2 linked regions of the Struthio camelus genome follow. The protein of the gene in region 1 binds, or shares a complex with, the protein of each later gene. Links are inferred from orthologs where the notes say so. Each region holds a gene or a part of one and is shown on either strand. Other genes may lie near its edges. The genes, in order: WRAP53 and DKC1.

Region 1 (11,289 bases):
GCAGGCGGGTGCACGTGTGTGGAGGCGGGTGCGTGTGTGTGCGTGTGTGCAGGTGTGTGCAGGCGTGTGCACGTGTGTGCAGGCGGGTGTGTGTGTGTGCGTGTGTGCAGGTGTGTGCAGGCGTGTGCACGTGTGTGCAGGCGGGTGCACGTGTGTGGAGGCGGGTGCGTGTGTGTGCGTGTGTGCAGGCGTGTGCACGTGTGTGCAGGTGTGTGCATGTGTGTGCAGGCGGGTGCAGGCAGGTGCATGCATGTGCATGTGTGTGCAGGTGTGGGCAGGTGTGTGCATGTGTGTGCGTGTGTGTGCAGGTGTGGGCAGGTGTGTGCATGTGTGTGCGTGTGTGTGCAGGCGTGTGCATGTGTGTGTACGTGGGTGCAGGCATGTGCATATGTGTGCAGGTGTGTGCAGGCATGTGCATGTGTGCGCAGGCAGGTGCTTGTGTGTGCAGGCAGGTGCATGTGTGTGCATGTGTGTGCAGGCGTGTGCATGTGTGCAGGGGGGTGCATGTGTGTGCATGTGTGTGCAGGTGTGTGCAGGTGTGTGCATGTATGTGCAGGCGTGTGCAGGCGTGTGCATGTGTGTGCAGGTGTGTGCATGTATGTGCAGGCGTGTGCAGGCGTGTGCAGGTGGGTGCATGTGTGTGCATGTGTGTGCAGGTGTGTGCAGGTGTGTGCAGGTGTGTGCATGTATGTGCAGGCGTGTGCAGGCGTGCGCATGTCTGTGCGGGCGGGTGCATGCGTGTGCATGTGTGCGCAGGCGTGTGCAGGCAGGTGCGTGTGTACGCAGGCGGGTGCAGGCATGTGCATGTCTGTGCAGGCGGGTGCATGCGTGTGCAGACCATTGCATGCATGTGCGTGCGTGTGCACACGCGTGTGCCGCCCTGACGCGGGGGGGCCCGGGGGGGCAGGTGCTCTTCACGGACGCCACCTTCGCCATGGGGCGTGTGCGTGCGTGTGCGGGCGTGTGCATGCGTGTGCGTGCGTGTGCACACGTGTGTGCCGCCCTGACGCGGGGGGGGCCCGGGGGGGCAGGTGCTGTTCACGGACGCCACCTTCGCCATGGGGCAGGTGCTGGAGCGGGTGCAGGCGTGTGCATGCGTGTGCAGGCGTGTGCAGGCGTGTGCGTGCGTGTGCGTGCGTGTGCACACGCGTGTGCCGCCCTGACGCGGGGGGGCCCGGGGGGCAGGTGCTGTTCACGGACGCCACCTTCGCCATGGGGCAGGTGCTGGAGCGGGTGCAGGCGTGTGCATGCGTGTGCGTGCGTGTGCGTGCATGTGCGTGCGTGTGCGTGCGTGTGCGTGCGTGTGCACACGCGTGTGCCGCCCTGACGCGGGGGGGCCCGGGGGGGCAGGTGCTGTTCACGGACGCCACCTTCGCCATGGGGCGGGTGCTGGAGCGGGTGCAGGCGTGTGCAGGCGTGTGCATGCGTGTGCGTGTGTGTGCGTGCGTGTGCGTGCGTGTGCAGGCGTGTGCGTGCGTGTGCAGGCGGGTGCAGGCGTGTGCGTGCGTGTGCGTGCGTGTGCAGGCGTGTGCGTGCGTGTGCACACGCGTGTGCCGCCCTGACGCGCGGGGGGGCCCGGGGGGGCAGGTGCTGTTCACGGACGCCACCTTCGCCATGGGGCAGGTGCTGGAGCGGGTGCAGGCGTGTGCAGGCGTGTGCGTGCGTGTGCAGGCGGGTGCAGGCGTGTGCGTGCGTGTGCGTGCGTGTGCAGGCGTGTGCGTGCGTGTGCACACGCGTGTGCCGCCCTGACGCGCGGGGGGGCCGGGGGGCAGGTGCTGTTCACGGACGCCACCTTCGCCATGGGGCAGGTGCTGGAGCGGGTGCAGGCGTGTGCGGGCGTGTGCGTGCGTGTGCAGGCGTGTGCGTGCGTGTGCACACGCATGTGCCGGCCCTGACGCGCGGGGGGGCCCGGGGGGGCAGGTGCTGTTCACGGACGCCACCTTCGCCATGGGGCAGGTGCTGGAGCGGGTGCAGGCGTGTGCGTGCGTGTGCGTGCGTGTGCAGGCGTGTGCGTGCGTGTGCGTGCGTGTGCGTGCGTGTGCACACGCGTGTGCCGCCCTGACGCGGGGGGGCCGGGGGGGCAGGTGCTGTTCACGGACGCCACCTTCGCCATGGGGCAGGTGCTGGAGCGGGTGCAGGCGTGTGCGGGCGTGTGCGTGCGTGTGCAGGCGTGTGCGTGCGTGTGCACACGCATGTGCCGGCCCTGACGCGCGGGGGGGCCCGGGGGGGCAGGTGCTCTTCACGGACGCCACCTTCGCCATGGGGCAGGTGCAGGCGTGTGCATGCGTGTGCGTGCGTGTGCGTGCGTGTGCGTGCGTGTGCAGGCGTGTGCGTGCGTGTGCGTGCGTGTGCACACGCGTGTGCCGCCCTGACGCGGGGGGGCCCGGGGGGGCAGGTGCTCTTCACGGACGCCACCTTCGCCATGGGGCAGGTGCAGGCGTGTGCATGTCTGTGCATGCGTGTGTGTGCGTGTGCGGGCGTGTGCGAGCGTGTGCACACGCGTGTGCCGCCCTGACGCGGGGGGGCCCGGGGGGGCAGGTGCTCTTCACGGACGCCACCTTCGCCATGGGGCAGGTGCTGGAGCGGGTGCAGGCGTGTGCATGCGTGTGCGTGCGTGTGCGTGCGCGTGCGTGCGTGTGCGTGCGTGTGCGTGCGTGTGCACACGCGTGTGCCGCCCTGACGCGGGGGGGCCCGGGGGGGCAGGTGCTGTTCACGGACGCCACCTTCGCCATGGGGCAGGTGCTGGAGCGGGGCGGCCGCCCGGGGCCCCCCCAGGCGCTGCTCCGCTGCGTGCGCAGCATGGCCGCCCCCCCCCGCGCCCAGGCCTCCTGCTACACCGCCGGTACCCCCCCGGCGCGGGGGGCACTGGGGGGCACTGGGGGGGACTGGGAGGGACTGGGAGCACTGGGGGGGCTGGGGGGGACTGGGGGGGACTGGGAGCACTGGGGGGGCTGGGGGGGACTGGGAGCACTGGGGGGCAATGGGGGGGATGGGGGCACTGGGGGGCACTGGGGGGGATGGGGGCACTGGGGGGCACTGGGGGGGCTGGGGGCGATGGTGGGGCTGGGGGGGATGGGGGGATGGGGGGATGGGGGGCACTGGGGGGACTGGGAGCACTGGGGGGGTTGGGGGGGTTGGGGGGGCTGGGGGGACTGGGGGCACTGGGGAAACTGGGGGGAACTGGGGGGGACTGGGGGGGCGCTGGGAGCACTGGGAGCACTGGGGGGGCTGGGGGGGGTTGGGGGCACTGGGGGGACTGGGGGCACTGGGGAAACTGGGGGGAACTGGGGGGGACTGGGGGGGCGCTGGGAGCACTGGGAGCACTGGGGGGACTGGGGGGGCTGGGGGGGCTGGAGGGCACTGGGGGCACTGGGGGGGCTGGGGGCACTGGGAGCACTGGGAGCACTGGGGGGCACTGGGGAGGGGGCAGAGATCACCCCTAACCATGTGTCCCCCCCCCCGTCCTATGTCTCCCCCGTGTCCCTGTGGCGTGTGCATGGCGTGCGCATGGCGTGTGCATGGCGTGCGCGTGGTGTGCATGTGGCATGGCGTGGCGTGTGCATGGCGTGCGCGTGGCGTGCATGTGGCGTGCGCGTGGCGTGTGCATGGCGTGCGCGTGGCGTGTGCATGGCATGTGCGTGGCGTGTGCATGGCGTGTGCATGGCGTGTGCGTGGCGTGTGCATGGCGTGTGCGTGGTGTGCGCGTGGCGTGTGCGTGGCGTGTGCGTGGCGTGCGCGTGGCGTGTGCGTGGTGTGCGCGTGGCGTGTGCGTGGCGTGTGCGTGGCGTGTGCATGGCGTGTGCATGGCGTGTGCGTGGCGTGCGCGTGGCATGCACGTGGCGTGCGCGTGGCGTGTGCATGGCGTGTGCGTGGCGTGTGCGTGGCGTGCGCGTGGCGTGTGCATGGCGTGGCGTGGCGTGCGCGTGGCGTGCACGTGGCGTGCGCGTGGCGTGTGCGTGGCGTGTGCGTGGCGTGTGCGTGGCGTGCACGTGGTGTGTGCATGGCGTGCGCGTGGCGTGTGCATGGCGTGCGCGTGGCGTGTGCGTGGCGTGTGCGTGGCGTGCGCGTGGCGTGTGCATGGCGTGTGCGTGGCGTGTGCGTGGCGTGCGAATGGCGTGTGTGTGGCGTGTGCATGGCGTGCGCGTGGCGTGTGCATGGCGTGTGCGTGGCGTGTGCGTGGCGTGTGCGTGGCGTGTGCATGGCGTGCGCGTGGCGTGTGCGTGGCGTGCGCGTGGCGTGTGCGTGGCGTGTGCGTGGCGTGCGAATGGCGTGTGCATGGCGTGTGTGTGGCGTGTGCGTGGCGTGTGCGTGGCGTGCAAATGGCGTGTGCGTGGCGTGTGCGTGGCGTGTGCGTGGCGTGCGCGTGGCGTGTGCATGGCGTGTGCGTGGCGTGTGCATGGCGTGTGCGTGGTGTGTGCGTGGCGTGGCGTGGCGTGCGCGTGGCGTGCGCGTGGCGTGTGCGTGGTGTGTGCGTGGCGTGCGCGTGGTGTGTGCGTGGCGTGTGCGTGGCGTGCGCGTGGTGTGCGCGTGGCGTGCGCGTGGTGTGTGCGTGGCGTGCACGTGGTGTGCGCGTGGCGTGCGCGTGGCGTGTGCATGGCGTGTGCGTGGCGTGCGCGTGGCGTGTGCGTGGCGTGTGCGTGGTGTGCGCGTGGCGTGCGCGTGGCGTGTGCATGGCGTGTGCGTGGCGTGCGCGTGGCGTGTGCGTGGCGTGCACGTGGTGTGCGCGTGGCGTGCGCGTGGCGTGTGCATGGCGTGTGCGTGGCGTGCGCGTGGCGTGTGCATGGCGTGTGCGTGGCGTGCGCGTGGTGTGTGCGTGGCATGTGCGTGGCGTGCGCGTGGCGTGTGCGTGGCGTGTGCGTGGCGTGTGCGTGGCGTGTGCGTGGCGTGCGCGTGGCGTGTGCATGGCGTGCGCGTGGCGTGCGCATGGCGTGCGCGTGGCGTGTGCGTGGCGTGGCGTGTGCGTGGCGTGTTGCAGGCGTGTTCCGGCTGCGCAGCGGCGACCGCCTGCGCCTGCGGGTGCCGCGGGCCAACGCCTCCTTCGACCTCAGCGCCCACGGCACCTTCCTGGGCATCGTCCGCCTCTAGCGCCGGCGGCCCGGGGCCCCGGCGTCCGGGCAGCACAGGGGCCCCGGCGTCCGGGCAGCACAGGGGCCCCGGCGTCCAGCCACGAGGGGCCCCGGCGTCCGGGCAGCACAGGGCCCCGGCGTCCGGGCAGCACAGGGGCCCCGGCGTCCAGCCACGAGGGGCCCCGGCGTCCGGGCAGCACAGGGCCCCGGCGTCCGGCCACGAGGGGCCCCGGCGTCCGGGCAGCACAGGGGCCCCGGCGTCCGGCCACGAGGGGCCCCGGCGTCCGGGGAATGAGGGGTCCCGGCATCCGGGCATGAGGGGCCCCGGCGTCCGGGCAGCACAGGGGCCCCGGCGTCCGGGCAGCATAGGGCCCCGGCGTCCGGCCACGAGGGGCCCCGGCGTCCGGGCAGCACAGGGGCCCCGGCGTCCGGCCACGACGGGCCCCGGCGTCCGGGCAGCACAGGGGCCCCGGCGTCCGGCCACGACGGGCCCCGGCGTCCGGGCAGCACAGGGGCCCCGGCGTCCGGCCACGACGGGCCCCGGCGTCCGGGCAGCACAGGGGCCCCGGCGTCCGGGCAGCACAAGGGCCCCAGCGTCCGGCCACGAGGGGCCCCGGCGTCCGGGCAGCACAGGGGCCCCGGCGTCCGGGGAATGAGGGGTCCCAGCGTCCGGGCATGAGGGGCCCCGGCGTCCGGGCAGCAACGAGGGGCCCTGGCGTCCGGGCACCATGGCGACCCCCCATCACTGCTCCACCATCTTCCCCCACCCGGACGCCTGGGCCCCCCATTGCCTGTGTGTGGGGGTTGGGGGGGGTGTCGCTCCCCGGACGCCTGGGCCCCCCGGACACCTGGGCCCCCCTGTTGTCTGTGGGGGTGGGTGGGGGGGGAGTCGCTCCCCGGACGCCTGGGCCCCCCGAACGCCTGGGCCCCCCTGTTGTCTGTGGGGGGGGGTCGCTCCCTGGACGCCTGGGCCCCCCGGACGCCTGGGCCCCCCTGTTGTCTGTAGGGGGGGGTCGCTCCCTGGACGCCTGGGCCCCCCGGACGCCTGGGCCCCCCTGTTGTCTGTGGGGGGGGGATCGCTCCCCGGACGCCTGGGCCCCCCGGACGCCTGGGCCCCCCGTTGTCTGTGTGGGTGGGTGGGGGGGGGCGTCACTCCCCGGACGCCTGGGCCCCCCCATTGTCTGTGTGTATTGGTGGGGGGGGGGTCGCTCCCCGGACGCCTGGGCCCCCCGGACACCTGGGCCCCTCCGTTGTCTGTGTGGGTGGGTGGGGGGGGTCACTCCCCGGACGCCTGAGCCCCCCGGACGCCTGGGCCCCCCTGTTGTCTGTGTGGGTGGGTGGGGGGGGGGTCGCTCCCCGGACGCCTGGGCCCCCCTGTTGTCTGTGTGGGTGGGTGGGGGGGGGGTCGCTCCCCGGACGCCTGGGCCCCCCTGTTGTCTGTGTGGGTGGGTGGGGGGGGCGTCACTCCCCGGACGCCTGGGCCCCCCCCAACCCCGCACCAAGCTGCAGCCAAGCAACGAAACCTCGCGAGACTTCGCCGAAACTCTCGCGAGCGCCGGCGCGTGACGTCATCGAGCCGCGCGGCGGGGCGAGGGGGGGAGGGGGCGCGACGTCTCGCGAGATTCTCAGCCAATAAACGCGCCCGAGGCCGCTCCGCTCTCGCGAGATTCGCGCGCGGTGCCTGCCGGGAGGGGCGGGGCCTCGGCTGTCATGGCGGCCCCCATGGAGGAAGGTGTGTGTGGGGGGGGATTCCGGACTCCTGGGCCCCTGGTGGGGGGGAGGGGGGTCCCGGACGCCTGGGCCCTCGGTGGGGGGGAGGGGGGTCCCGGACGCCTGGGCCCCCGGTGGAGGGGGGGGGTCCCGGACGCCTGGGCCCCCTGGGGAGGGTGTGAGGGGGTCCCGGACGCCTGGGCCCCCGGTGGAGGCGGGGGGTCCCGGACGCCTGGGCCCTCGGTGGAGGGGGGGGGGTCCCGGACGCCTGGGCCCTCGGTGGGGGAGAGGGGGGGTTCCCGGACGCCTGGGCCCGTAGCCATACTGACCCCCCCCCCCGCAGCCTCCGACAACCCCCCCGCCGAGGGGGGGGGCCCCGCGGAGCCCCAGGAGCCCGAGGAGGAGCTGTGAGTGCCCCGGACGCCTGGGCCCCCTGGGGGGGGTGTGAGGGGGTCCCGGACACCTGGGCCCCCTGTGTGTGTGGGGGGGGGGTCCCGGACGCCTGGGCCCCCTGGGGGTGTGTGTGTGGGTGGGGTCCCGGACGCCTGGGCCCCCTGGGGGTGTGGGGGGGGGGGTCCCGGACGCCTGGGCCCCCTGAGGGTGTGTGTGGGGGGGGTCCCGGACGCCTGGGCCCCCTGGGGGTGTGTGTGTGGGTGGGGTCCCGGACGCCTGGGCCCCCTGAGGGTGTGTGTGGGGGGGGGGGTCCCGGACGCCTGGGCCCCCTGAGGGTGTGTGTGTGGGGGGGGTCCCGGACGCCTGGGCCCCCTGAGGGTGTGTGGGGGGGGGGGTCCCGGACGCCTGGGCCCCCTGAGGGTGTGTGTGGGGGGGGTCCCGGACGCCTGGGCCCCCTGGGGGTGTGTGTGTGGGTGGGGTCCCGGACGCCTGGGCCCCCTGAGGGTGTGTGTGTGGGGGGGTCCCGGACGCCTGGGCCCCCTGGGGGTGCGTGTGGGGGGGGGTCCCGGACGCCTGGGCCCCCTGGGGGTGCGTGTGGGGGGGGGGTCCCGGACGCCTGGGCCCCCGGGGAGGGTTGAGGGGGGTCCCGGACACCTGGCCCCTCGGTGTAGGGGGGGGTCCCGGACGCCTGGGCCCCCTGAGGTTGTGTGTGTGTGGGGGGGGTCCCGGACGCCTGGGCCCCCTGAGGGTGTGTGTGTGGGGTCCCGGACGCCTGGGCCCCCGGGGATGGTTGAGGGGGGTCCCGGACACCTGGGCCCTCGGTGTTGGGGGGGTCCCGGACGCCTGGGCCCCGCAGGCCGCCCCCCGCGGAGCTGCAGCGCCCGCCGCGGCTGGTGGCGGAGGCGCGGCAGGAGTACGGCCGCCGGCCCGAGAACTTCCTCAAGGGCTGCAAGTGGTGAGCCGGACGCCTGGGCCCCTCGTGGGGGCGGGGGGGGGCGCGGCCGGGGACGCCTGGGCCCCTCGTGGGGGCTGGAGGGGTTCCCCGAGCCCGCCCGGACGCCTGGGCCCCTGGGGGGTGTGGGGGGGCTGGAGAGAGCCCTCCCGGACGCCTGGGCCCCTGGGGGGTGTGGGGGGGCTGGAGAGAGCCCTCCCGGACGCCTGGGCCCCTGGGGGGTGTGGGGGGGCTGGAGGGAGCCCTCCCGGACACCTGGGCCCCTGGGGGGTGTGGGGGGGGCTGGAGAGGTTCCCCGAGCCCGCCCGGACGCCTGGGCCCCTGGGGGGGGGTGGAGGGGTGCCGCGAGCCCGCCCGGACGCCTGGGCCCCTGGGGGGTGTGGGGGGGGCTGGAGGGGTGCCGCGAGCCCGCCCGGACGCCTGGGCCCCTGGGGGGTGTGGGGGGGGGCTGGAGGGGTGCCGCGAGCCCGCCCGGACGCCTGGGCCCCTGGGGGTTGTGGGGGGGGGCTGGAGGGGTGCTGCGAGCCCGCCCGGACGCCTGGGCCCCTGGGGGTTGTGGGGGGGAGCTGGAGGGGTGCCGCGAGCCCGCCCGGACGCCTGGGCCCCGCAGGGCCCCCGACGGCTCCTGCCTGCTGACGTGCAGCAACGACAACACCCTGCGCATCTACGACCTGCCGCCCGCCCTGGGGGGGGGCCCGGGGGGGGCCCTGCCCGAACTGGTACCCGTCCGGGGGGGGTCCGGGGGGTCTTTGTGGGTCCTTGGGGGGGACTCTGGGGGGTCCTGGGGGCAACGGGGGGGGCCCAGGGGGTATTTAGGGGTGTTTGGGGGGGTCCCAAGGATGTGGGGGGGGTCCCAGGGGTGTTGGGGGGGTATTTTGGGGTATTTGGGGGGGTCTGGGGTGTTGGGGGGGGTCCCAGGGGTGTTGGGGGGGTCTCTGGGGTGTTTGGGGGGGTCCCAGGAGGTATTTGGGGGTCTGGGGCGTTGGGGGGGGGTCCCAAGGCGTTTGGGGGGAGTCCAAGGGGGTATTTGGGGGGTATTTGGGGGATGTTTGGGGGGTCCTGGGGGTGTTTGGGGGTGTTTGGGGTGTGTTTGGGGGGTCCTGGGGGTATTTGGGGGTCTCTGGGGTATTTGGGGGATGTTTGGGGGGTCCTGGGGGTGTCTGGGGGGGTCACAGGGGTGTTGGGGGGGGTCTCTGGGGTGTTTGGGGGGTGTTTGGGGGGGGTCCTGGGGGTATTTGGGCGTCTCTGGGGTATTTGGGGGATGTTTGGGGGGTCCCGGGGGTGTCTGGGGAGGGTCACAGGGGTGTTGGGGGGTCTCTGGGGTGTTTGGGGGGTGTTTTGGGGTCCCGGGGGTTGTTTGGGGGGGTCCCGTGGGCCTCTGGGGGGTCCCTGGGGGCCGTGGGGGGGGGGGGGGCCGGGCGAGGGACCCAGGCGTCCGGGCGCAGGTGCCGGCGCTGCGGGTGCCGGAGGGCGACACCGTCTACGACTACTGCTGGCTGCCGGGGATGAGCTCGGCCCGGCCCCCCTCCTGCCTGTGAGCACTGGGGGCACTGGGAGCACTGGGGGAGCCCACTGGTGGTTACTGGGAGCCCTGGGGGGGCACTGGAAGCACTGGTGGGGGTGGCGTGGGGAGTGCGGGGGGCACTGGGAGCACTGGGGGAGCCCACTGGTGGTTACTGGGAGCCCTGGGGGGGCACTGGTAGTTACTGGGAGCCCTGGGGGGTCACTGGGAGCACTGGGTGGGGTGGCGTGGGGAGTGCGGGGGGCACTGGGAGCACTGGGGGAGCCCACTGGTAGTTACTGGGAGCCCTGGGCGGGCACTGGTAGTTACTGGGAGCCCTGGGGGGGCACTGGGAGCCCTGGGTGGGGTGGCGTGGGGAGTGCGGGGGGCACTGGGAGCACTGGGGAAGCCCACTGGTAGTTACTGGGAGCCCTGGGGGGGCACTGGTAGTTACTGGGAGCCCTGGGGGGGCACTGGGAGCACTGGGTGGGGTGGCGTGGGGAGTGTGGGGGGCACTGGGAGCACTGGGGGAGCCCACTGGTGGTTACTGGGAGCCCTGGGGGGTCACTGGGAGCACTGGGTGGGGTGGCGTGGGGAGTGCGGGGGGCACTGGGAGCACTGGGGGAGCCCACTGGTAGTTACGGGGAGCACTGGGGAGGTTGCTGGGAGCACTGGAGTTACTGGGAGCACTGGGAGGCTCACTGGGGGGTCACTGGGAGCACTGGGGAAGCCCACTGATAGTTACTGGAAGCACTGGGGGGTCTCTGGTAGTTACTGGGAGCCCTGCGGGGGCACTGGGAGCACTGGGGGGGGTGGCGTGGGGAGTGCGGGGGTCACTGGGAGCACTGGGGGCACTGGGGGAGCCCACTGGTGGTTAGTGGGAGCACTGGGGGGCCATTGGGAGTACTAGGGAGGTTACTGGGAGCGCTGGAGTTACTGGGAGTACTGGGAGAGTCATTGGGGGTCACTGGGAGCACTGGGGAGGGCACTGGTGGGGGTTACTGGGAGCACTGGCCATACTGGCAGCCCTGAGGAGGGCACTGGGGGGGGGTAACTGGGAGCCTTGGGGGAGCACTGGGAGTTACGGGGAGCCCTGGGGAAGGGGGAACTGGGAGCCCTGGGGGGGCACTGGGAGTTACTGGGAGTACTGGGGGGGGGGTCACTGGGGCTTACTGGGAGCACTGGGGCGCAGGGTGGCCAGCAGCAGCCGGGACAACCCCGTGCACCTCTGGGACGCCTTCGACGGGAGCCTGCGCGGCTCCTTCCGCGCCTACAACCACCTGGTGAGGGGGGGCCCAGGCGTCCGGGGGGCCCAGGCGTCCGGGGGGGCGGCGGGGGGGCTCCTTCCGCGCCTACAACCACCTGGTGAGGGGGGGCCCAGGCGTCCGGGGGGCCCAGGCGTCCGGGGGGCGGCGGGGGGGGCTCCTTCCGCGCCTACGACCACCTAGTGAGGGGGGGCCCAGGCGTCCGGGGGGCCCAGGCGTCCGGGGGGTGGCGGGGGGGGCTCCTTCTGCGCCTACGACCACCTGGTGCGGGCGGGCCCAGGCGTCCGGGGGGCCCAGGCGTCCGGGGGGCGGCGGGGGGGGCTCCTTCCGCGCCTACGACCACCTGGTGAGGGGGGGCCCAGGCGTCCGGGGGGCCCAGGCGTCCGGGGGGGCGGCGGGGGG
Region 2 (10,516 bases), on another chromosome or scaffold:
GTGTACATGAGGAACCTGGCTCTGTCCGACCTGTTGCTCTCCCTCTGCCTGCCCTTCCGCATAGCTTATCAAAACAAGAGTGAGCCCCGGATCTTCTGCAACATTGTCGGGGCCTTCTTCTATCTCAACATGTACGTCAGCATCACGTTCCTCAGCCTGATCAGCCTGGACCGCTATCTGAAGATCATCCGGCCCCTCCAGAAGTTTAAGATTCACACCATGTCCTGTAGCACCATGGCCTCTGGGGTGGTTTGGTTGGTGCATTCAGCTTTCATGCTACCTTTCTTTTTTGAGACAAAAGGAAAAGGGCCCTGTGACCATAAATGCTTCCACTTCAGGAGCAAAAGCACTGTGGCAGCAGCCTTTAACATGGTTGCAGTAGCCACTTTCTTTATCCTGCTACTGCTCTTCCTTTACTCCTACAGCAAGATATTTGCCAGGCTCCACAGAGTCTCTTCAGTGAATGCTCAGCAGCTGAACAAGAGGACTAGCATGAAAGCCATCACCAAGACCTTCGTTGTCCTCATCATCTTCATTGTATGCTTCACCCCCTATCACATTGTCCGTATTCCTTATGTCCTCGCGCAAGTGGGGGTCATTTCTAGTCTGCCCTGGAAGCAGGGTCTCCATCTCGCTAATGAGCTTGTGCTCTGCATCTCAGCCCTCAACAGCTGCCTTGACCCAGTGATCTTCTTTTCCCTGTCTAGCAGCTTCCGGAGGGCTGTGCTCTGCACCATCCAGGGCAGGCTGAAGAGAGCTCTTCTAAGGAACCAGGGAGGACTGAGCTACAGCAGGTCTGTGACTGAAGTCTAGGCCTTCCAGTGGGTACCAAGGTCTCAGGCATGGGATGATCTCGTCAAGGATTTGCTCTGACTGCTGGTATTTACCAAATGAGACTTGCCAGGAAGACAGAGGAAGAAACTGGAACCATTTCATGTTTCCTCCACTGGCACCATCAGGGCTAGTGCTACCCATGGGGGTAAATGAAGAAGAAAAGAATAGCTGAGGCCTTACTGTTTTCCATGCCAGCTCTGCTCACACAGCTGAAGAGCTTATTTCCTAGGAAGAATGAAGGCTGGGTGTGCCACAGAAGAAACAGCCTTGGCCTAGGACCTCCACCCAGCGTAGGGAAGGGGAGGGACAGGGCCCAGGACAGAGAAAGGCTCCTTCGATGGGAGGAGAAGTAGTGAGGGGCAGAACAGGAATGGGAATCTGCTGTGGATCTTGTCTACCTCCACACTATAGAAAGCATGAAATGGGAAAAGAAGATGAAGTGCAGAAGAATTGGGAAAGGGGGAGGGAAAAGCTCATTGGGGCATTACTGGGGAGCAGAAGAATGTTTGGCTCCATGATGGAGTGCAGAGATACGCAATGCCGGGCTTGGATAACAGGCAAGCATTATAACCCCTGTAACTTCAAACTAAAACAACAGGCACTTTTTTTCTCTTGTTTTTACCTCAGTCCCTGTAGCACAGCGTCAGCCTCACTTTTCTGTGTATTCAAACAGGCAACTGTGGGCTGCTTTTAGCTGTTTTCCTTTGCCCATTTCACTGGCATGTTCACATGGGACTGGCAGCTTCCTCGCCTGACCATTGCACAGCACTTGTTTCTGGCTTGGACCGTGCCAGGAACATTGCTCCAGCAATGTTCAATCTCAAGAATGAGATGCTGACTTTGATGTCCCCAGCTCAAGCACCGTTACTATGCACTGACTCAAAAGGAAGTTTTTGGCCTTTACTATTCTTCATTGCCCATCCTCTTCCCAAAGAAGAGGATATTTCCCTGGTTGGGGTTTTTCCCCCCCTTTCATATGCTCACATCTCATCTGTTCACTTATTTTTAGAAGACTGCAGGCTTGGAGAAACACACTGATTCACACACCTGGCAAGCAAAGCCTGGGCGATTAGCATTGGGGAGGATTTTCATTCAGACTGTGAACTGCTTTATTAATTACTTAATTCAAACACCTGAGGAATACTTGTGAGAATAAAATGTTTTGTTAAAGATTGAATTCTCTGATCTTTCCAGTTGAGGCTGGAGCAACCCCTGAATCTCACTTTAGCTCTGTTACAAAGGAGCACCTGAAGCTCAGGGGAAGACACACTTGCTGCCTTCTGTTATCAGTGCTAATAAACACACCAAGAGCAAGGGAGAGGGGTATGTTTCCTTTTAGTGGGGGTGGGGGGAAATGCCGAAAGCCAAGCTCTTCCTGTGGAAAGCTGCAAGAAAAGGTTACAAAGCAGTTCTCTTCTGATCAGCGCTAACAAGAGTCAAAGCAAAAACAACGTGCGGTTCAGAAGTCTCAACATCGCAACACCGGAGCACCTGTGCGCTATGCAGCTTGAAGGAAACCCCGTGAGCTCTTGCAGTCAAGTTTCCCCCTCATGAAGTGGAGTCTCTTGACATCTTCCTGCCAGAGGAAACTAAGAGTAGCACAGAGAGCGGGACCTCACCTCAGCCCAGCGCTGGACCTGGCCCGCATGCGGCGCCTGGGATCAGAGGGGTGTGTGGTACCTGCACAGGGGGGAGCAGCGTGCGGTGAGGGTGAGAGCAGATGGGGACTTGTGATGCTCGTGGTGGGTCTCGGGGGCAGGCAGCGGTGGGAGGGTTGGCAGCAAAGCACGTGGAAGTTTCCGGCTCTACAAGAGAAAGCCGCAGGGCCGAAGGGGCTGATGCTCACTTCTCGGAAGCCGGTGCCCTGTACCATATCCTGTTTCCTTTACGGTCAAGGCAAGCAGCTCAGCGCACAGCGGTCAGCGGCTGCAGGCCTGCTCGCCCCGCACTGCGCTCCCGACGGCTCCCTCCGTGCGGGAAGCGGGGTGGACCGGCTCCTTCCGCCCAGCACCGAGGCGGCAGGTCCAGCCCCCGCGTCCTGGCCAGGGGACTGAGCTTCGGCGCAGCCGCCCCAGCACCACGTCGCCCGGCCCGCCAGGCCTTGGGGCCTCCATCGCGCCCCACGGCCCTGTCCAACCTCCGCAAACAGACGAAGGCTTTTCGGCCGACACTGGCACGGGACTGAATCAGGACAAACTGAAGGCGACACCGTGATGTGAGCGAAGGTGAGCGCAACGAAACGGAGGCTCCGGTGGTGCAGGAGGAGCCACAGCAACACGGGCGAGACCAGCAGGTCCGCACAGCGCAGCCGCAGCCCCGTGTCCCCCCTGGGGACCCGTCGCCAGGAGCAGGAGCAGGAGGATTGGCCGGACCCCGCCCCGCGAAGGCGTGGCGAGGGCGTGGCGAGGGCGTGGCGAGGGCGGGGCCCCGCCCCGCCCCGCCCCGCCGGCCCCGCCCCGCCCCCCCCGCCCCGCCCCGCCCCTACTCCACCGCCTCCCGCGGTGCGCCAGGAAGCCGGCGCCCGTTGGCCCCGCCGCACCGCCCACGTGCCCCAGGAAGCCGGCGCCCATTGGCCCCGCCGCGCCGGCCACGTGCCCCGGGGAGCCGGCGCCCATTGGCCCCGCCGCGCCGGCCACGTGCCCCGGGGAGCCGGCGCCCATTGGCCCCGCCGCGCCGGCCACGTGCCCCGGGGAGCCGGCGCCCATTGGCCCCGCCGCGCCGGCCACGCGCCCCGGCAGCCGGCGCCCATTGGCCGCGGCGGGCGGCGCGGCGTCGGTCGCGGGCGGTGGCGGCGATGCTGGCGGCGGCGGGCGGCGCGGGCCCCGGCGGGGCGGGCGGCGGCGGCTCGGCGGGCGGGCCGGGCCCCGGCGGCGGCGGCGGCGGCGGCGGGGGGGACGGGGACTTCCTGTCGCGGTACCGGCTGGTGTCGGCCAAGCTGCGGCGGCGGTTCCTGCGGAAGCCGAACGTGGCGGAGGCGGCGGAGCAGTTCGCGGCGCTGGCGCGGGAGCTGCGCGCCCAGGAGAGCCTGCCCTACGCGGCCTGGTGCCAGCTGGCCGTGGCGCGCTGCGCGCAGAGCCTCTTCCACGGGCCGGCCGAGGCGGCGGCGCTGGCCGAGGCGGCGCGGCTCTTCCTGCGGCAGGAGCGGGACCTGCGGCAGCGGCTGGCGCTGCGCGGCGGCTTCGGCGAGCACGCGGCGGCGGCGCAGAGCTGCGGCGCCTTCGCCGCCCGCCTGCACCTGGAGCGGGGGCAGCCGGCGCTGGCGGCCGGGCTCTGCCTGGAGCTGGCGGCGGCGCTGCGCGACACGGGCCGGCCGGCGCGCGCCGCCGCGGCCCTGCAGCGGGCCGCCGAGCTGCTGGCGGCGGCGCGGCTGCCGCTGGAGGCGCTGCGCTGCCTGGGCGAGCTGGCGTCGTGCCTGCTGCTGGGCCGCGACTACGCGGGCGCGCTGGCGGCGCTGACGCGGGCGCAGGCGCTGGCGCGGGCGGGCGGCGGCGGCGGCGCCTTCCGCGAGGCGCTGGCGCGCTGCGAGGTGTCGCGGGTGCTGCTGCTGCTGCTGCTGCAGCCGCCGCCGGCCAAGCTGCCGCCCGAGCACGCGCGCACGCTGGAGCAGTACTGCTGGGAGGCCCTGGAGAGCGGGCCGGGCGGCGGGCAGCCGGCGGCGGCGGGCTACCTGCCGGCCGAGCTCTTCCTGCTGCTGCAGTCGGCCGTGCTGGCCTGCCAGGAGAAGGACCTGGAGGCGCTCAAGGCGCTGCAGGCCGAGCTCTGGCCGCTGCTCAGCGCCGAGCAGAACCACCTGCTGCACCTGGTGCTGCAGGAGATGACCAGCCCCTCGGGCCAGGGGCTCTGAGGCCGGGCCCGGCCCGGCCGCCCGGGGGCCTTGTGCCTGCTGCCTCGGCCCCGGTGCGGCCGCGGAGGAGGCCCGTCCCGGCGTGGCGCTGGGCGCCGCCGCGAGCGCGTGGGCCGCGGGAAGACGCTGCTTGCGGCGAGCCCGGTCTGCGCGGGGAGCCCGTCAGCAGCCGGCGCCGCTCGGCCCGCTTGTGCGGCCGCCGCAGCCCGCTCGGCCCGGCGCCGCGTGGACGCGGGTCCTTCTTGCTGCGCGACCGCGGGGCGTTTCGCCTCGGGACCCTCTGGCGCTGCAGGACGCCCCGCCGGGACGCTGCGCTGCCGCGGGCGCGGAGGACGCGGTCGGCGTGGGCAGCCGCGGCCCCGGCGCCTTTCCCGGCCGGCCGGAGCGTGCCCTGCGCGACGGTCCCCGAGCAGCTGTGTTCGTCGCCGAAAGCCTCTGCGGGGACCGTTCCTGTTGCCCTCGCTCGGGGCGAAGCCGGCTCAGCGTGCGACAGCCCCGGGCGGGGGGCGGCGGCAGTGGGGGCCCCGAGCTGGCCGCTGTGCAGCCCGCAGCGCGCTGGGGGGCCGTGCGCCCCGCCGGGGCCGGCGTGAGCCGGTGGAAGCGGTGCCCTGTGGGAGCCCAGGGCACGGACCTGCCCTTCGCATTACAGTAAACGACCTCTTTATGCACTTTATTTTCCGGGCCTCCAGCCTCTTCTTCCTTCGGGTGCGGCCACGCGCGGCGGCCCCTCGGCTACCGGGGGTGGTGGCTCCCCTTGCCCCGCCCCCTCCTCTACAGCCCCGCCCCTTTTCTATTGCCCCCTCCTCGCTGCGTGGCCCCGCCCCCCGCGGCTGGCCCGCGCGGGGCACGTCGGGAAGGGGCGGTCCTTCCGGTCTCTGCGCGGCGGCGGCAGCACGCGGCGCGGCCATGGCGGACGGGGACGGTGCGTATTGGCGGGGCCGCCCCGTGCCGCCCGGCGGCTCCGGTGCTGTGCGGAGGACGGAGGCGGTGCGGGGGCGGGGGGGAACTAGAGGCCGTGGCTCCGCGCGGCCCGGCCCGCCCCCGCCCCGCGCGGCCCGGTCCGGTGTGGCGGGGTGCTGACCGCGTGTCTCCCGCAGGCTCCGGCGTGAAGAAACGGCGCAAGAAGGAGAAGCGGCCGCTCCCCGACGCGGACGTCGCGGTGAGCCCTCGCCGCCGGCCCGCTGCCCTCCCCGGCACGGCTGGGCCCGTCTCGCCGTGCCCCGGGGCCTGCTCGGGCCGGGTCGGGCCCGCCGGGGGGGGATGGGGCGGGCGCGGGGAGGCCCCGGTGTCGCGCCCCGCGCTGTGTCCGCCTCTTCCCGCCCCCCCTCGGCACGGCCCCGGTGACCCCTCGGTCCCCGGCACCGGTTAAAGCGTTTTAAAGCAGAAATTACCGAATAGAGAGCGGGCGTTGTTCGGTCTGGGCGAGTAGCCCCGGCAGGCGGCACGCGGTGGCCGGGCGGAAGCACGGCCCCAGCTCTCTGATTTTGTGTCCTTTCGTCCGTTTTCAGGATATTCAGCACACGGAGGAGTTCTTCATCAAACCCGAGTCCCGCGTGGCCCAGCTGGACACGTCGCAGTGGCCGCTGCTGTTGAAGGTAGCGCGGGTCAATGGGCTTTTTCTTTTGATCTCTTTCTCAAAGCGTGCACGTACAGATGCAACGCTCCTCCTCGGTGTTTTGTAGTCTGCTCTAAAAAACAGCTTATGTGACCCTCAAAGCAGAGGCTAAGCCACTGCCTGCAGAAGTCATGCTATAAAATTTGACCAGCCTTATTGTTTGCATACTACTCTTGAAGTTTCTAGTCTCTTGTAAAGACCGCACAGGATTCTTTCAGCTATTCTTTATTTTGGTCTGAGAGTGGCCTATGGCCTACGTAAACTCCTGAGCTCTTTGTACAGAGGTGCTGAGGCATGCTGGTTTTATTTTGGTTTTTAAAGCTTTTCATTCTGCTACTTTGACATCTTTTCCTGTGGAGGGTTTTTTTCCCTTCTCTTTCCAAAAAAAAAAACAACTCTGCAATTGCATTCCTAGGTCATTTTAACTTTGGAAGAGGTGGTCCCAGTTACGTACACACTAATCAGACAACGTGTAATTGCGGAACGCATTCGGGCAAAGCTCTGTTGAAACTGAAGTACAGCGAGCTCGAGAGTGTTCTACTTATGGTTTTACTTTTGCTTGGATTTTGTAGAACTTTGACAAGTTAAATGTGTTGACAGCACACTACACACCCCTTCCTTCTGGTGCTAATCCGCTGAAGAGAGAGATCTCTGACTACGTTAGGTGAGTGTAATAACTGCAAGAGTGTTTATATCTTTCTTTCAGAGCTAATATCTTCAGGTAATTTTGTGAAGGTGATAGCTGAAAATAAGTGGCAGTGACCGCTTTTGTCTGATGTTTTGTGTTTTGAGGTTCCTCGTGTACCTTTCTACTTGCCTTTGTACCTTGCTGTTAAACGGTAAATCTGGAAATAGACCCACTGGTCGCTTCTTGTGAAGTTTGCTTTGTTCCGGGTTAGCAGCTGGCCTGCCAGCAGGCGTGCAAATGGGGTCTTATGGAAAGTCCTTCAGCCTGCCAGTTGTGGAGACTGCTTGGAGTTTGTGTGCAGTATTTTGATTGAGTTTAAGCACTCAGTAGTGATCAGCCGTCTGAAGAGATGAAAATTGCTTGATCTTGAAATACACGACCTGCCTTTCGGAAGAGCTGTGGGCAGAGTAACTCCTTGTGGTCTCAGTGGGAGCAACTGTGGTCGTAGGCTCTTATTTGGCTCTTTATTTAGAAATATATTTTCTTTTGAAGACGTGACAAGTCATCAATGGTTCTTTGCTTGCTCTGTTTGCCCTGATGCTTAATTTCTGATCTCTGTCATCTTGCACTTTAGGTCAGGCTTTATTAACCTCGACAAACCTTCCAATCCATCTTCGCACGAGGTGGTTGCATGGATCCGACGCATCCTTCGAGTGGAGAAGACTGGACATAGTGGCACTCTGGATCCTAAGGTGACTGGGTGCCTGATTGTGTGCATTGAGAGGGCGACACGACTGGTCAAATCTCAGCAGAGTGCAGGTATGTTTACTACCCTGGGACTGTTTACAGTCTAAGTGACTGGGGAAGTGCAGAGTTCTTCTGAAGACAAGCTGGAGATTACCATTCCTGCCTACAAAAAGGGCTACTCTTCACCTTGAGTGACTTAAATTTGAGGGTTGTTTATAGTGAGGCCATGTCAATACCATTGCAAGTGTTTTGATCGTTTTTCCCTGTCAGGGTCTTATGCTGTTTTAGGTCAAGGAAAACATTTCTGAGTGACTGGTTTCGTATGTTAACTGGACTCATGGCTATAGGTGGCCTCAGTCTACAAGTTCAATCAAACAACACTTGGTGAAGAAACACGCCTGCAACTTAGATTTTTTTTCTTCTGTTGGAAGAATAAGCAACTGCATAACATATTGCTTGTGCTGTCTAGGAAAGGTGGTTGTGAAGATACCTGTTGGGCTGTCTAGATGTTTCACTATGTAGCAGTGTGCACCTTGAGGTCAACATTAAATGCAAGTGGCCACTCCTGACTGCTCTTGTCGTCCTTTTAGGCAAAGAGTATGTGGGAATTGTTCGGCTGCACAATGCAATTGAAAGTGAGGCCCAGCTGGCCAGGGTAAGTCTCTGCACGCTGTTAGCCATGCTGATGCTTGAAGTGCAAAGCATTCAGCGTCCCTGGGAGATGACGGCAGGAATGGAACTCAGGTGTGTTTTGTATGTGAGGTGATGACGAAGTTTATCCATTCTCTGAGTGCAGTGGCACTGCCCTCCTGCAGCACCCTGATTCCTGTTCTAGGATCTGGGTGCTGTGCAGCCTCCAGAGACCCTGCAGTCTCCCAGTGTCCTACTGGGGGCTGCTGGGGCCTGTGGCTGACTGCCTGCAGGAGTGAGGTGTGCTGGCAGGGTCGGAGCCCTTGTCTGTGGGGGCTCCGTCCCCACCAAGATGAGGGATGATGTCTGATCACCTACTGCCACCTGATTTTAAAAAAAAAAAGCCCAGCTATGCCTCACTGACAGCTGGGGCAGTATTTTGACCACATCTCTGGTTCATTTTGGCTTTTTAAAATGTGAAGTAGCCAGATGATGATGAACCTTGTGGGTTCTCACTCATGGAAGTGGTCCAAATGCCTGGAGACCTCAAGGCATTTTTATATTACATGTGCTAATGGAAGAAGTGTGACCTGTTACTTCTACTTCTGCCCTCAGGCAATAGAAACTCTGACAGGCGCACTGTTTCAGCGACCGCCCCTCATTGCTGCTGTGAAGCGACAACTGAGAGTCAGAACCATCTATGAGAGCAAGCTAGTGGAGTATGACCCTGAGAGAAGATTAGGTAAAATACCACTCTGTCTTCTCTCTTTTCAACCACCAGCTGATAAATTCCCTGTGAATTGGGCTGCTTTCTATTCTTTGCAGATGTCATAAGACTGTTAAATTCTTGCCACGATCAAGCAGTAGCTGCTTCTTGCCTTGGTTCTGTGCGCTGAGAAGCAAATCTCATTTATATGTCAGTAGAGCTGAGTCCTCCACTGAAGAGCCAAATGATGTCAGCTAGATGGCATTAGCACTCTGTGCAAAGATGACTTTCATCTATCACCCAATGCTGATGGCTCTGTGAGAGGCTAAACACAAAGCTTCTAGACATGGTTTATTTCTAGATATATGTTTAAGTGCTCTTCCCTTGGCCTGGCCTGTGTTTCAGGTATCTTCTGGGTGAGCTGTGAAGCAGGCACATACATCCGAACACTCTGTGTTCACCTTGGCTTGCTGCTGGGTGTTGGAGGCCAGATGCAAGAGCTCCGGAGAGTGCGCTCAGGGATTCTGGGAGAGAAGGTAGAGTGGCGACTACTTATAAACCAGCAATTTTGGAATTGTGAGAGTTCCCCAGAACTTTGTTGCTCTTACAGCATTAGAAGAAGGTATAGGTGCGTGGTGCCTGGGAGAAGTTACGTTTGTGAACAGCCCCCAAAACGTGGGAGCTTTTGCTATAGATGCCTGAACCAAAGTGTTGAGTTCAGTTCAGGGTGGTTGCCCCTGTTCTGGTAATTAAACTTTGGGACAGTGAGTGGCTGGGAAGTGCACCATGGTGACTGGAAGTTTTCCTATGCCACCTGTGTTTCTCAGCCTACAAGCCATGCATGTGCCATGAGTTCAGGAGTGTGAGCTATCTGCTTAGCTATCTACAACCACTTGGTGTCGTGTGGCACAGTGCAAGGCACGTGCTTCCATTGAAATGAGCTCAGGGGATGCCAGCCTTCAATGATCCTGAACACTTGCGTAGGCTTTTCAGTGTGGACATAGCTGCATCCCGCTGCCAGTCTGAACTCCAGGACCAGTTTCTCTCCCTGTAGAGCAGGAGTATCAGAGTGCAAGTGCTCCTCCATCCATCTGTGCTCTTACCACAGATGTAATCATTTGCAGTCATTTTTGAATTCCAGCTGCTGGATGCTCACAGCTGCTTCAAGAATTTTTTGCCTGTCACAGTTTGAGGAGCTGGTTAATTTAAGCTTTTACTCCCCCATCTCCTTTGTCTAGAAGTCCCAGGTATTTGCGTAAGCTTAGTCTCACGTCAGGTGTTTCACGTACCTTATGTACTAGATCCAAGTGCAGTCTGAGGTTAGGACAGTTGAAGCCTGCAGTAACAAAGGTCAGGGCCAGAGGGTTTCAAACTGTTGCTGGAAAATATTTGTTCTTGCCTTTTTTAGGTTGCTTTTTTGACACTTCTGAATTCAGAATCTGTTCTCTGCTCCTTTTCAGTACAGAATTTGCCATTGGTCTTTAGCTGTCTTCTCTCGTGTCTGTTTTCGAG

The links.
Region 2: WRAP53 (region 1) and DKC1 share a complex: the UniProt entries of both Homo sapiens proteins name them as parts of the telomerase holoenzyme complex. The link is inferred for Struthio camelus from reciprocal best matches to the Homo sapiens genes WRAP53 and DKC1.

The regions. Positions count from the first base shown.
Region 1 is NW_027182724.1:70,700-81,988, reverse strand, and holds the start of WRAP53 (telomerase Cajal body protein 1), read left to right. Parts: upstream 1-6,741; 5' UTR 6,742-6,776; coding exon 6,777-6,798; intron 6,799-7,119; coding exon 7,120-7,183; intron 7,184-8,025; coding exon 8,026-8,124; intron 8,125-8,731; coding exon 8,732-8,840; intron 8,841-9,566; coding exon 9,567-9,655; intron 9,656-10,814; coding exon 10,815-10,905; intron 10,906-11,289. Other genes in the region: uncharacterized protein, read left to right, coding at 2,704-2,842, 4,976-5,085. UniProt on the Homo sapiens protein: RNA chaperone that plays a key role in telomere maintenance and RNA localization to Cajal bodies. Specifically recognizes and binds the Cajal body box (CAB box) present in both small Cajal body RNAs (scaRNAs) and telomerase RNA template component (TERC).
Region 2 is NC_090952.1:25,978,195-25,988,710, reverse strand, and holds the start of DKC1 (H/ACA ribonucleoprotein complex subunit DKC1), read left to right. Parts: upstream 1-5,471; 5' UTR 5,472-5,584; coding exon 5,585-5,600; intron 5,601-5,775; coding exon 5,776-5,837; intron 5,838-6,186; coding exon 6,187-6,273; intron 6,274-6,865; coding exon 6,866-6,957; intron 6,958-7,555; coding exon 7,556-7,740; intron 7,741-8,258; coding exon 8,259-8,323; intron 8,324-8,425; exon of another isoform or gene 8,426-8,672; intron 8,673-8,913; coding exon 8,914-9,040; intron 9,041-9,243; exon of another isoform or gene 9,244-9,319; intron 9,320-9,409; coding exon 9,410-9,540; intron 9,541-9,705; exon of another isoform or gene 9,706-9,840; intron 9,841-10,516. Other genes in the region: probable G-protein coupled receptor 34, read left to right, coding at 1-813; 40-kDa huntingtin-associated protein-like, read left to right, coding at 3,629-4,678.